Kluyveromyces lactis: one gene and its partners. The main gene of each other region encodes a partner of the protein of the gene in region 2 in a complex. Links are inferred from orthologs where the notes say so. Each region holds a gene or a part of one and is shown on either strand. Other genes may lie near its edges.

Region 1 (4,813 bases), on a different chromosome or scaffold from region 2:
TGATATATAAAAAGTTTTGTAAACATTGAGCTATTGTATGGAACAGGACGAACGAAAGCCTCAGGAAATAACACTCAGTAGTAAGCATCAATAGGATCTAGCAGATTTTCATTGATTGAGATATAGGATTTAGTGAAAGAAATTTAGAATCATATCAAGACGCTTTATTTTGGTTTGTTGAATACTGAAAGGAAAAAAGGAAAATGTCGGATAATTCTGTGAGTTCATTTGTGACTCGTAACAAGACCGCCATCTTGGCAACTGCTGCTGCCGGTGGTGCTGCTATTGGTGCTTATTATTATTATAACCAATTGCAGAGGGCAGAATTGGGTTCTGGTTCCAGTGGTAGTAAGAAGACTTCCAAGAGTGAAAAGAAGAAGAGGGCCGGGAAGAAGAAGAAGGATTCGTCTTCTTCATCAAACGGTTCTGATGTCGTTTATCCAGTAGACGCTAACGGTCAACCAGATTTGTCTAAGAAGGATGAGTTTACTCCAGAACAAGTTGACAAATATGCTTTGGCGTTGAAGGACAAGGGTAATGAATTCTTTAAGGCCAAGGATTTCGAAAAGGCTATTGAATATTATACCTTAGCTATTTCATTGAAAGAGGATCCAGTGTTTTACTCCAACAGATCTGCTGCATACGTCTCAATTAACAATTTCGAAAAAGTTGTTGAAGATACCACTGCCGCTTTGAAATTGAAGCCTGATTACTCCAAATGTTGGTTGAGAAGAGCTAGTGCTTATGAAAACTTGGGCCAATTCTCCGATGCTATGTTTGACTTGTCGGCTGTCTCTTTGTTGGGTGAATACAGCGGTCAATCCGTGGAGCAACTGCTGGAAAGAAACATGAACAAACAAGCCACAAAGGTCTTGGGTGAAAAATTGAAGGAGAACCAGGGTAAAGAATCTCCATTACCATCTAACACCTCTTTGGCATCATTCTTCGGTATCTTCAACCCTGAAACTTCTTTCGATGATTACGATGGCGAAAATGAAGCAGATGTTGAGTTGAAAAAAGGTTTGGAAAACTTGTACAAATGTCAAACCGGATGTTACGAATTGGCTGATGAAGAATTCACCAAGGCTGCCGAGTTATACAAGAAAGAATTAGAATCTTCTCCAGATAATGAATCTTTGAAGAAGAAGGCTGCCATCGCCTTCGAACATGTGGGTATTTTCAAGTTCTTCAAAAATGATCCAATTACCGCGCATATTAACCTGGAAGAATCGTTGTCTTTGAACCCAAGACCTTCTACTTACATCTACATGGCTTTGATTATGGCTGACAAGGGTGAAGCCAACCAATACAAGGAATACTTTGACAAAGCTTTAGAATTAGATCCAAACTGCTCTGCTGTTTACTATCATCGCGGTCAAATGCATTTTGTTGTTGAAAACTTCAAAGAAGCTGGTGCCGATTTCGATAAGGCTAAGGAATTAAATCCAGAAAACATTTTTGCCTACATCCAATGTGCTTGCTTGGCTTTCCGTGACGATAGATTTGATGATTGTGAAACTTTGTTCAGCGAAGCCAGAAGAAAGTTCCCAACTGCTCCAGAAGTTCCAAACTTTTATGCCGAAATTTTGGCTGCTAAGAACTCTCTAGATGCTGCCATCAAGCAATACGATATTGCCATCAAGTTGGAAGATGCTTTACCAGGTATTCACGTCGGTATTGCTCCAATGATTGGTAAGGCCACTGCTTTGATTAGAAACCCAACCGTTGAAAACTTCGTTGAAGCTTCCGAATTATTTGAAGAAGCTTGTAAGATCGATCCAAGATCCGAACAAGCCAAGATCGGTCTTGCTCAACTAAAATTGCAACAAGAAGAAATTGATGATGCCATTCAATTGTTCGAAGATGCTGCCGATCTCTCAAGATCTTTCGATGAAAAACTACAAGCTACTACTTTCGCTGAGGCTACCAAGGTCCAGAAAAAGATCAGAGCTGATCCATTCATTAAGGGTAAGATCGACGAAGCTATTGCAGCCTACCGTGCTCAAGGTCTCGCGTAAATTAGCATGATATTCACGAATGAATTTAATTCATTTCAATATGAGTAAAGCTACAATAGCTCATTGTTTTTGTCTCACCTTAATGACCATAATGGCAACATACCATGCAACATCTAAACGAATGAATTACCAAGAAAGTTATGATTTTACAAACAAAAAGTTGTAGCATTTCACCCAAGTTATTTATGACTCGTAAGCAGCGTGAACTGTGTTAATCGTAAACGACAAGATCTCAACATTACAACGTGAAGAATAAGAAATAGTTATCAATTCTTCACAAAAACAAGACAAAAAGAAACACAGAAGAACAAGAATACGAGAACAACGCTTTTCAATAACAGCTCATTGCAAAATATGTGCTCCTAAATACCCCTGGTTCAAAAACATCATCTTCTACCATTTTGCTAGAAACAAATACGTCTTTCTGTATATACATGTATCTCCCCCATCTCACAATTTAATCAAATTGTAATTTTAAACACTTCGATAGTATATCACTACATACGTTTCAACATAAATGACATTTTTTGTTTTCTCTGAAAGAAGTGTATGTAATAAAAGTTTCTTGTGAGATTATGGCAAGGTACTGAGTGAAAGTGAGCTACAATTCAAGTACTTCATTGTTAACGGACTATAGCAGGATTTACCCCACCAGCGAACTACTTCAAATATGCTATCTTCTATCTTTGGTTCGATGATGAACTTTTCCGCTAGAACTGGACTTCTGGGATCTAAAACTAATGTTTCATCGCTCATCCTCACCAGAAACTTGATGAAAACACACAAAGGTGCCGCAAAAAGATGGAGAAAAACAGCCAATAGCTTCAAGAGGGGCAAGGCTGGAAGAAATCATGGTAATGCTGGATGGAGTAGGAACTCCCTTAAATCATTATCTGGCAGGTCATTAGCAGACTCCACACATATGCATCGTTTAAAGAGATTGCTTCCATACCATTAAGAGATGAAAGGCAATTAAAATAAGATATCGTTTCGATTTCAATCCTGTACATATAACAATGGCATCCCCATAATGAATGACACACCATTTCTTACCATGATTTTCAGTAAAGCATGTCATGAAAAATCAGCGGGTTACTATAATGGATAATTATCATTAATAAATACCTATATACAATTTGCAAACAACGGTAAAAAATGATTAATCATATATATAGTCAAATTAAGTCTCCGAGATATCATTCTCGATCCAACTACCTGTTTTTGGATTCTTTCTTAATTCTACCGTTGGGAAGTAGTGATAGTTTGTCTTTAAGGAAATGGCAAACGGAACATCGTCAAATGTCATTAAGCGTAACTTGCAGTATGTATTATCTGGGATTTCTTTAACAACCTTCAAGAATGTATCCAAATCAGGTGTTGATTGGTCATTGACGTGTGTGATAAAGTTGGTCACTTCTATTCCGTACTGTAACGCCAAAGAAGATGTACCACGAGAAACCGCATATACTTCACTAGGAATAGACGTTTTTACTTGACGCACGGCATGATGAGGAGCTTGTAGTACGCAACCTGCGAATACGACAATTCTAGTGGTTTCTTCAATTTGTACAGTTTTTATTTTCAAATCGATAACCTTCGCATCTCTTACAACCTTGAATAACAACTCAGATTCGATATCCGTATCGTCATCAGTCCCCACGACACCACCAATATCCCTCATTCTTTTTACCAGTTTCCCATTAACTGATAAGATAATATCACCAGGCTCGAGCCTTTCCTTTATTGTTGTATAGGAGTTTCTGGTGACACTGATGAATTGTAATCTGTTTTCTGATTCTTCTTCCATCATCTTAATCCATTCTTCAGGAACACCTCTGATTCTAGCCTGCAATAATGAGATGGAATCAAATCCTGCGTCCACAATAGAAACCTTAGGATTCTTACCAGCCCTGAGAATATCTACAACTTCTTTGATATCCACTACGTCTAAACCCATTAAATACAGTTTTTCCTTGTTACCCATGCAGGATAACCAGATTGCTCTCACTGTACCATCATCTGCCGCTAATATTCCTGATTTACATTTGGTGCTTATATTCGAATCAATGGAGATGACTTCTAGATTGGTTGCTCTATACCTAGGAATGATGTCGTTAGGAACACTCAGAGAAGAGATGCCATTGACTTTAGTCTTGGAACTGATTAAAGTGTTTGAGTACATGTAACCAATGAAATTAGTTTCGTCTCCTCTTTCAAGCCTTTCATTAGCTAGCACTGGTGTGCATACTGGGGCGTCAACTAAAGATGGATCATATTGAACAATAGCGTAATTTTGGGTAGGATGTAAGAATACAACTTTAGCAGGTACAAGAATGGATTCAGCGAACGAGACAAACGTGTTCAAACAGTCATGAGGAACAAAACTACGTGAAACAATAACATATCCCTTCTCAGCATCGAGTACTAAACCACATCCGTTTGTGGGTTCGGGTTCCATGGAGTCCATGGTGATAGCAATAACCGAATGTACAACACATAGACTATGTGACATTTTTGCAAGTTTTTTATTATCATTAATCGGTAGATCTAAAATCTTAGCTTTCTGTGGTTTTATTGGAAGTGGTGGTAATTTCTCAGTGATCTTTTCATAATCCCAAATACCTGTTTTGTCATTTCTAGTATAGATTCGGAACTCACTGCACCAATGACGGTCAATATAAACACTGGTTATTCTTTGTGTTTGAACATCTGTCAAGTTATGGAATTTCACGATTACTCTTTTTTCGTCAGGAATTGTTTTCATGACTTCTATAAAGTCGTCTAGAGTTGGTGTT
Region 2 (5,252 bases):
GACTGGAAGGTGAAAAGAAATCGTTACGTTTTGCTTTTAAACGGTATAGAACCAGGATGCTAATTGCAATGAGCTCTCAAATGTTTGCTCAATTAAACGGTATCAACGTTATATCATATTACGCGCCTCTTGTTTTTGAACAAGCTGGATGGGTTGGTAGAGAGGCCTTGTTGATGACAGGTATTAATTCCATCATTTACATATTGTCCACTATTTTGCCATGGAAATTAGTTGATAAATGGGGGAGAAAACCAATCCTACTCTCCGGGGCGCTGGTAATGGGAACTTCTTTGCTTGCAATAGCCATGTCATTATGGGCGAATGTTGCTGCCACTCCAAGATTAGTGGTCGTGTTCGTGATCATCTTTAATGCCTTTTTCGGTTACAGTTGGGGTCCAATCCCATGGCTATATCCTGTTGAGATTGCGCCTGCAATGGCAAGATCTGCAATGGCATCTGCTTCTACTGCTACAAACTGGCTGTTTAACTGGTTAGTAGGTATCATGACTCCTATCTTGCAAGAAAAAATCCATTGGAGAATGTACTTGATTCATACTGTATCCTGCTACTTGTCATTCTGGTGTGTGTTAAAAGTTTATCCAGAGACTGCTGGTTTAAGATTAGAAGATATGGATTCTGTTTTTGATGACAGGTCATCAACCTTCAGTTTCCAGTCAGGGACCTCCGCTGAAATAGAACAACAGTCTCATCTAGTAAGTGGTGGAGGAGAAGTAGCACCATCAACGAGATCTCGCAAAAGTGTTTATTCGAATGCACAATCCATGTTTAATAAAGATGAGATACAACCACCAACATTGACCCAGGTTCTTCAATGGAAGGAAGAGAGAACTCAAACTAAACCATTGAAAAAATTTATAAGAAGAGGCTCGGAGACTGTCTGTTTGATATATAATAAGGTACGAAACTTACGGAGCACCAATGATACAAACCAAATCGAGTATGGTGCCGTATCCAATAATCAGCCTCCGAACTAATGATATTGCCACTTGTTTTCAACTGCTTGTTTTCAATAATGCATCTTTTATAGGTACTTAAGGTATTCACTTTCTAACTCGTTTTTGTACAAATATTCTTGAATAGTACCCGAAGTAATATGTAGTATTATATACGACAGATATTAGATTATATCTGGAGTTGGTAATCTTACGAAACATGCTATATATTTATCACCTTTATTTCTTTCAACTTTCTTACCTTCCTCTGTAGCATTTCTCATTATGCTTACACATTTATCCTGTGCTTCCCATTCTTCAGAAAGCCTTTCGAATAGAGGATGTTCTTCTAAGTGTTTTACCATCCATTCATGTAGATCTAGAACATCGGTGATTGTATAAATGATACCACCCTCTTTCAACACATATGCGTACTCACTTAGTAATGTATCAGTGACGATTCTTGCTTTATGCTTTCTTTGCTTGAAATGGGGATCTGGGAAACAGAAAAATATCTTGGACAACTGTCCCTTATTAAAAAAATTTGGCAAGAATTTCATTGCATTACCTCTTAATACATTAATGTTTTGATATCCGTTTTCCTTCGCGTGGTTGGTTCTCAATGCAATAATTCTATCTTCGACATAATTCGTTACTTGAACACGAATCTCCATACCCAAGATCATTTCATCGGGAAATTCTGGAGATAAATCGATCATAAGACCACCATAACCACATCCGATATCCGCAATGGTAACATCTTTCGTCATTTTCTTCTTTTCACTATCGTAGAAATGAGGGTACAATTTTGACCAGTCCATATGAGCTGGGCTTATTGGATACTCCAACTGATGATCACTGAATGGATTCGAATGTGCTCTTTGTCTGTAAAACTTTTTTTTAGGTAAAGATAGTTTATCCACCTTTTCAATCACAGATTCATCGATCTTGACATGTTTCAATTCTTTGCGATGATCTTGCTTCTCAGCACGATACGCCTGGCGTCTAGTACTAAAACTCATATTTTCTAACAAAGGCAGTTATAGGAAATTTGAGTCACTGTTAGAATTCAATTATGTTTATTCAACACACATTAACGGTTGGTGGAAGTAACTGCTTTGAAAAATTGTAACCTCATCGCCTAGGTTTTCTCGACTCAATTGATTCAGTGCATGTTCAAAAACTTTTTATTTCTTTACAATATACAAATGAGATCAAAAAAAGTCACGTGCAAAGAATATGTACAGGAGTTTATATTAATATGTGATGGGTTTATTTAAGTACATCGATACGTAAAAATGATTTATATTACATTTCATGATGGGGCAAAAGACTTTAATTTCCTTCGCTGTCATTCTCGTTTTTCTGCTTATCTGGGTTAATATTATCTTCGTGAGACTTTAGAGTTAGGTACAACATGTTTGAGCCAGCTTCTAAAGTTTGAACTAAACCAGCACCGCTCAAGACGTGCAATAGTCCCAGTAATTCTGATTGTAATTGACTTTTTGTTGGTAGATCCTTGAAAGAATCCAATTGTCTCAAATCGTACGCATCATTTTCAACTTTGGCGCCAATAACGAATAACTTGTCTTGGGCTTTTTCCAATAATTTCATGACTTTTTTTACCTTTGCCGGATCAGTCTCTGGGAACGAAATTGCTGCCGTAGGACCTTTGAACAAGGGCAGTAAAGGATGCTTCCAGTCTTGTTCTGAACGTTTCGCTGGAGCAGCTGGGTCATTTTTGCGTGAGTTTCTCAAGTATACTTGGAACAAATTGTTTCTCAAGATTGTTAACTTGCCTCCTACCTTATTAATTTCTTCTCTGAAGTGTGCATTCTCCCCTTTCATCAAATTGTTATGATGACAAAACAACATTACCGGACTGGTTTCCATCAGGTTTTTGTAAGAGTCGATTAGGAAAGTCTTACGAGAGTCCAAAGGCTTTACTGTTCTTCTAACTGCATCCGAGACAGTTCTCTCAATTTGCGTAGAGGCAAACCTCCTAACCAAAAACGGAGAAGCATATGAGACACGGGATACCACCACTGGGCTTCTTAACAAAAGTGACAACATGGCTATTTTGAGTGGTTGGTGATGACCTGAGCTGTGGATTCGAATCACTTTAAGCGAATTCATTCCCACCAATATATCTCTTCACTACAATATATCAATCTTCAGTGATTTTTCAGATTTTTCATTTTTTTTCAGATTTTTCAGTATCGTCGAATTTCAATACTTGGTACAATAAACCGACGAGAGGCATAGTTAGATTCAATGTAAGAAGGTATGAATGGTAATTGGAAGTGGTATGAGTGCCAAAATCGGTATCAACAATGGAGAAGGGAATGAAGACTTTCTCGTATATTTTCCATGGCAGCAAAAAATGTATATTGGTAATTTTTTATATATCTTCTTTATAGTATATATAATCCCGAATGAGGCAAAGGTCGATTCACGTGACTGTTCAAATTAAAATGATAGAGGAATTGGTGAGTTCTGCTCTTCTTTTCGAACTGCAAACTGTCATTGCTATCGTCAACATCATGCTTAAATAATGTAATCCGTTATAGACGTCTCCTGTCCAAGCTAGGAGGGATGTCGAAAGATTAGATTTCTTCCTTACAAAAGGTAGTCCGGGATTTATAGGGTCGTAGTGAAATTGTGAAGAGATGCAACTCTACTTCGTCATTGAAAAAATAAATGCAGTCATGTAACTGACGAGAATAATGCACAATTAGTGTAACTTCATCGTTCCATTGTGGAATTTGTCGCTATTCGGGATTTTCGTACATTTGAAACAGCATAGCTCTGTGCTGTAACGGTCTGGAAAATTATCTCATCTCATCGACAAGGGTTTGCATTAGTTGTCTCGCATCCATATCACGGATACGGCTGACATTGGATCCTGCCCAATGTGCTGCGAAAGAATTTGCGGTACCATCATGATCTGGAATAGACACGGCATTTAACTGCTTCCCCACATCGTATGTAAATGGATACCCTGGATGTATCACTCTAGTTGGAATATCCACCTCAGTGTGCCAACTATTCAACAAAGCTCGCGCCGGACGACCTGATATGCTGCTTGTGATTTGAGTTATGTCATTTCTTGTTTTGTCAAATAATAATTTCCTGTAATTTTCTGACGCAGCCGATTCTTTGCATTGGACAAATGCGGTTCCTAATTGAGCACCACTGGCACCTACTTCCATCATTCCTTTAATATCTTGACCAGACATTATTCCTCCTGCTGCTACTATAGGAATAGTTGTGCCCAACTTTGCTTTTAGTAATTTCACCAAATCTCTCGTGGATATTGCCGGATCTAATGATGCGTTAAACATTCCCCGATGACCACCCGCTTCGACACCTTGAGCGATTAGGATATCTATCCCGTGCCCAATAGCCAATTCAGCCTCACTTAATTGAGTCACACTTGCCATCGTGACAACTCCCGCTTGCTTCAATGATTTTAAAGTGCTCGCAGATGGCACTCCGAAATGGAAACTAACCACTTTCGGTTTCAATTCTAACACCACTGCAAGCATTTCTGGATCTTCCAAGAAACTGTTATAGATCTTGGTTAATTCCTTTTCAGGTTTAGTATGGAACCGAGCAAATATTGGCTTCAAATATTCGATCCAATTGCGTGCCACCTCCACGTTCAACTCTTCTGGCTCATGACAGAAGAAATTGACCTGAAATGGACTCTTGGTTAGCTTCTGCGTCGCAATTATGGCGTTTCTTGCTTTTTCGACAGAACTTGCTCCAAGTCCAAGCGATCCTAAACCACCAGAATTAGATACAGCTGCTGCCAATTCCGGTGTGGATACTCCGGCCATTGGTGCTACTAGAATAGGATACTTGATCCCCAGAATTTCGGTTAAAGCTTTCTTGGTTGACATTACAAAGTACCCGTGGTTGTGCTAGCTCTCGACCTTGGACTAATTGCGAATAATTACACCATTATTCATGAACTCCGCGGAGATATAGATAATAATAACATGTTTGCGTATTCAATTACATCTGGGGATACTTAAAAGAAATTACTGGAGACATGAATCGCTTTTGCCTTTTTTCCTGTTACAAGCCTTTGAATAAAAACCGATCCAGTTCGAGATTTAAGGAATTCAAAAACAATAACAAAGGAATATCTAGGTCGATACATGCAGAGAAGTAACGTAGGTCTCCAGGCTTAGATTGGAAGTACTCCCGATCGCTTAGTTCACTGATTTTATTGAGTAAGAAGGCATCTATAACAATTTTAGTATAGGAACGTTCCACCTTTTACATCCTATG
Region 3 (5,087 bases), on a different chromosome or scaffold from region 2:
TCTTCTGGGGTTTCTTCCGAAGAAAGTTCTGAGGACGTCGAATCAGAGTCGGAGGCTGGGGACTCGTTCTCGTTCTCCTCCTCTTCTCCCTCTTCTCCCTCTTCCTCCTCTTCCTCCTCTTCTGACTCCTCTCTTGTTGCCTCGTACCACTCTTTGTACACCGCATGTACTTCATCCTCCCACCATTCCATCCTATCTCCAATCCGTTTGGAATTCTTTTGTCCATACTCCACCAACTCTTCCGATAAATCAACTACATCGTGTGGATTATCCTCGATGCAAAATCCGTACCTGGCTAATAGGTACGAGTTGGAATGGTCACCATACGAGTTGAATATTTCTTCTCCCGCTTTGACATCGTTTGAAAGAATGATATCTACACATTCATCAGTATCAATGTTCTTGGGCATTATTGCCTCAGGAGTTTCTTCTGCATTCTCATCAGAAACAGTTTCCTCCACAGATTCTGAATCTGAAGGGTCTAATTCTCTTTCTAACTCTTCAATAACTGACAAGCTTATTGTCCCGGTTTCCCTTGGTGTTATTCTTTGAGTTCTCTGTTCCATCTCCATATCCAATGCCTTCGTCTCAGCAATCACATGCTTGCAATCCCCTAATTCCCCACACATATCGCACACATCATACATGCTCTCAAACCTTACGTCGGGCCTCGTTGCGTGATGGTTAAAAAGGTCTGCTATGGCAACTAATCCAGAATCATGATAGTTGTCGATCTCAAATACTCTTGACGATATGGCGAATGCTATAGCAGCAAATTCTTTAAAATTCGAAGAGACTTGCTTCTGATCTTCTAAATTGAAGTCGAACAAATACGGTATTTTCAGCCCAAATTCTTCGTTCCACTTACGGGATAATGCAATACCAACTTTGAAACCATTTTCTATCTCTTCTTGTGGAGACAACGCCTCGAATACAACATCCAATGCAGTATTCTTCAGCAAAATTTTCTCATTATCTTCCCAGTATGCCGGTGGAAGATATAGACTCCCATTTTGTCTGTGTGAAATGCTCTTCAAATATTTGTACCAATGGCTTTCAACTTGAAATATGAATACTTCATAAATATATGCAATGTTTAATGCCAACATGCCTTTTACCTCGCTATCAACCAGTAGATTGGCAATGCTACTATTTTCTGCAGTGAAAACAGAAGATTTCGGAATCCTAAGGAGTACAGTGTCCTCCTTCAAATCCTTTAATGCAAACACTCCTAAACCACCATAATCAGATCTTCTAATCTCACAGCCGGCAGTGTGGAAAAACCCCTTGGATTCCAGTACAAATGTTAGAATATCATCTGTATCACTGGAGTCTGTATTAGACATTCGTGTTGTTGGGTTGAGAGTCTTCACCTGTGAATAATGCCCCTACTATATGCCTCTTTGGGGTGTTGATAATTTCTGTGGTCAACCGATGAGATGAGATGAGATGATGAGATCTGAAGCGATTTATCATTTTCGAGATTGAAAAATTTCAACTGAACAATACGCAGAAAACCATTTCCGCAGATGAAGAAGTCGCTGTTAATGTAAGATGTCTTAATGACAATTAGATGTAAGAGGCGTTCTGAAATTCAAGTTAAATAACCACCTGGTAACCATATACTGGCGTTTTAAATCTTCTTCTCGCGTGTTCTTGAATGTCTTGACGATCCTTGGGCAGAGAGTCAACTCATCTCAAAAGGATATGTCATTTGAATAAGACATCAAATCGGATGAAAAGTATCTTATTATATACATATGTACAGGACCTAACTTTGAAAGTAGTATATTTAGGTATTCCAGTTTGTTTGTTTTTCTTTGTCAAAGGTCGGAGCTCATACCTTTATTATTTCTTCCTGGGGTACTCTTTTGTGTTCCAATTTCTGTAGCACTTCATCCATAATTTCAGATGAGTGTTTGTGCTTCATTGAAACTTCAGCTACAACCTTCCCATCGGATCCAATAGCTTCTAGTATGCATGGTACATCGACTTTTTTATCATCGTTTCTAATTCTGGTCACATTGATTGGCAACGCAGGGTTGTAAAACTGCAGAGAAGGCAAAAACTCGTGCCAGAACTTACGGGCACCCATATGGCCATTGAAATTCTGATACTGGAACTTCACATTCAATGCACTGTACTTCGATACATCTAATATAATTTGAGGTTTCACGGTAGTCGCACTGATCTTGTTCAAAAATTTTTGTTGTTTAACGATTCCTGACATTATTTATTAATGATCTTCTCTAGAGTGACAATGAGTATAAGTATCCAATCGGTAAAATAAACCTTGACGATAAAGTAGAGCAACCAGGACCCTTCACTTTCAGCAATATCACTTCAATCATCTATTTCGTAAAATCATTCTCATTTCAACTGGACATGTCCACTGAACTTTTTGAATTTTCAATAGTTTGGAAAAAAATTCATTGGTCACGTGAAATCATTCGACAGAAGCAAGTTACGTCCAAAACATAAATGAATGTGCCATGACTTACCCCAGTTTACAATTTATGTAGCATGGATCGTGAGGGAAGGACTTGTGATGAAGTCTTATACATGCATTCAAAATATGTAAATGCCATTGATTATAGATAGATAAATACTCCAAAAATAAGATTATTGCATCGAGCATCCATTGGAGAGTACAGCAAAACGAATGAAACGAATTTTGAATTGGAAGTGCGTACATCAATCCATCTAGTATTGTACGATGGTCATTCAAAGGAATGTATCAAATAACGGCAGCGTTTCTGAAGGCAATGAGCCGATATATCAAAACAAAAAAAAAAAGAAAAGGGACTAACGGGGGGAAAGGCGTGTTAAAGTTTACATATTGTGTAGATGCAAGATAAGAGGCATGTTGATATCTGAATTTCATGAGCAAGTATGCCTGCTAAAAGTTGGTGAAAATACTATGGTACGGATCTTCGCCTTGAATGCCATAATTAACCTCTTCCTCTGGATACCTATCGTATTGAGAGGTATCGCCTTGTCCGGCCTGAATAGGAGGTTCATATGGAGTTTCAATGTTTTTGCAGAGTAGTTTTTCCCACACAACCTCGCTGAACCACGGATGATTCTTTACGTCCTCACTTCCATTTTGTAAATTACCTAGCCGTTGACTTAAGTCTCTTGTGATGAGTTTCGATATTAGATCTTGAGCATCAGAATGGAAAAATGGTGGGAATCTTACTGGAGCATTTAGAATATTCTCATAGGTCTTAATTGTGTTTGAATCGTAGAAAGGTGTATATCCTGCTAACATTTCGTAGATTAAAACACCAAAACTCCACCAATCCACAGATTTGTTGTAAGGTTTTGTGCTTACCACTTCAGGTGCGATATAGTCCGGTGTTCCACAGAGAGTGTAAGTGACATCAGGAACATATTTAGCGAACCCGAAATCAGTTAACTTGATATGTCCGTTCTTATCTAAAAGGATATTTTCTGGTTTCAAATCTCTGTAAATGATGCCTTTAGAATGTAGGTATTCCAACGCAAGACAAACTTCTGCTGCATAAAACTTCGCGACCGGGTTTGGGAACCTTTGAGACTTCCTTAAAAGAGAGAATAGTTCACCACCTTCGATGTAATCCATGATCATAAACAATTGCTGTGAGTCCTGGAAAGTTCCCCACATTCTAATTATGAAAGGATGGGATACTATACTTAGCATATTTCTTTCATCGTTGGTATGCTCCACTTGTTTCAATTTGACAACGGTGTTTTTTTTCAAAACTTTCATTGCATAGAACCTGCCGTTGTGATTGGATCTCACCAAATGAACTCTACCAAACGAACCTGTACCCAAAGTTCTCAGAATCTGAAAATCATATAATGCATATTTTCCAGAAGTAACTCTTGCCTTGAGGGTAGAAGTGCTGCTTAGATGGTTATGCTTGTGACAATGGTTGCTATGCCTTCTATTTGAATTGTTGCTACTGTCCCCATTTTCATTATTGCTGGAATTGGATGACGAATCTTTGTTATCATTAGTATTAGTAGAGGAATTAGTATTATTAAGATTAGAGTTATTATTATCCGTCTCCATAGGATGATCAGCATCAGAGTTGGTTATCAGAGTTTCGCTGTTTCCACTCAACCTATTCCCCACGTTGCTTCCATCTCGTAGTGGGTCTTTGCTAGAAAGAAGTGGTTCTTGAGAATTTGAACTTGTTGAAACAGCCTGTACCACAGGTAATTCAATTTGATCTGTTCGGCCAGAAAGAAATCCCTTGGATTCGTTGTCAAAAGGTCTCATCTTTCTTCTCTTTGCAGGTCTTGCCTCATGCAAGATATAGCGGTTCAGATTGGAAAAAAAGAGAAAGTTGGCACAGAGTCAAAACAGTGATATATCTCTTATACTCTCACTAGAAAGAGTTCTAAATAAGGCCCAGCCTTTATCCGATTTCCTTCAAACCAAGGTCTGATCTGAATGTTGAAAAAAAAACTAATGATGAAGAAAAGTGTATCTTGTCCCTTATTCGAAATACCCCAAAACAGAAACAAGTAGGTAAGAAAATCAGGAAATTCAGTAACCGTATCGACCCCAGGGTGTGTCCAGTAGATGATACTATGAATATATTGTTAATAGTAAGCCAGTGCCTTGAGGAAAAGGAAACGTCACAATGAAAAGTAGCAAATAAAAAATTCACAGTATAGCAAAGGATGGAAAAGAATAAAATTGCCTAAAACCTAACCGTTTTAGTTTTTATTTTTTTATTTTTTTATCGGTACAACGTCAAATTAAACTTATTGTACAAATATCTTACGTGCGCTTCAATTCAAACCAGTAACTCTGCGGGTTGCTTGATCTATTTCCCACTTGTGTCCTCAAAACTCTCCGTTATTTGTCAAACTTCTTGAAATTTCCTTGTTTCTTGTAATTTAACCTAAATTTCAAATTTCAAAATAAAAAAACTATTCGCTTTCAAATTCGATTTTGGACGGTTCTGAGAAGTTAAAGGCTAGGACAACCGTAGCGGTGATCTCAAAACGGTAAATAGCTTAATTTATGCAAACTCACAAGTAAGATTTTATTGTGCGGATTTATGTTGCTGTTGTTTTTCCAGTGTTCAGCA

The links. The genes of interacting proteins can lie anywhere in the genome.
Region 1: MRPL11 (region 2) and MRP35 share a complex: the UniProt entries of both Saccharomyces cerevisiae proteins name them as parts of the mitochondrial large ribosomal subunit. The link is inferred for Kluyveromyces lactis from reciprocal best matches to the Saccharomyces cerevisiae genes MRPL11 and MRP35.
Region 3: MRPL11 (region 2) and MRP49 share a complex: the UniProt entries of both Saccharomyces cerevisiae proteins name them as parts of the mitochondrial large ribosomal subunit. The link is inferred for Kluyveromyces lactis from reciprocal best matches to the Saccharomyces cerevisiae genes MRPL11 and MRP49.

Annotation. Positions count from the first base shown.
Region 1 is NC_006042.1:2,240,251-2,245,063, forward strand, and holds MRP35 (mitochondrial 54S ribosomal protein bL35m), read left to right. Parts: upstream 1-2,688; coding exon 2,689-2,976; downstream 2,977-4,813. Other genes in the region: protein channel TOM70, read left to right, coding at 204-2,018; NMA111 (Nma111p), read right to left, coding at 3,199-4,813. UniProt on the Saccharomyces cerevisiae protein: Component of the mitochondrial ribosome (mitoribosome), a dedicated translation machinery responsible for the synthesis of mitochondrial genome-encoded proteins, including at least some of the essential transmembrane subunits of the mitochondrial respiratory chain.
Region 2 is NC_006037.1:291,041-296,292, forward strand, and holds MRPL11 (mitochondrial 54S ribosomal protein uL10m), read right to left. Parts: upstream 3,027-5,252; coding exon 2,289-3,026; downstream 1-2,288. Other genes in the region: KLLA0_A03223g (uncharacterized protein), read left to right, coding at 1-995; TRM8 (tRNA (guanine46-N7)-methyltransferase), read right to left, coding at 1,139-1,975; KLLA0_A03289g (putative nitronate monooxygenase), read right to left, coding at 3,785-4,858; KLLA0_A03311g (uncharacterized protein), read left to right, coding at 5,250-5,252. UniProt on the Saccharomyces cerevisiae protein: Component of the mitochondrial ribosome (mitoribosome), a dedicated translation machinery responsible for the synthesis of mitochondrial genome-encoded proteins, including at least some of the essential transmembrane subunits of the mitochondrial respiratory chain.
Region 3 is NC_006038.1:621,707-626,793, forward strand, and holds MRP49 (mitochondrial 54S ribosomal protein mL61), read right to left. Parts: upstream 2,231-5,087; coding exon 1,838-2,230; downstream 1-1,837. Other genes in the region: RKM3 (protein-lysine N-methyltransferase), read right to left, coding at 1-1,346; KLLA0_B07205g (cAMP-dependent protein kinase), read right to left, coding at 2,900-4,267. UniProt on the Saccharomyces cerevisiae protein: Component of the mitochondrial ribosome (mitoribosome), a dedicated translation machinery responsible for the synthesis of mitochondrial genome-encoded proteins, including at least some of the essential transmembrane subunits of the mitochondrial respiratory chain.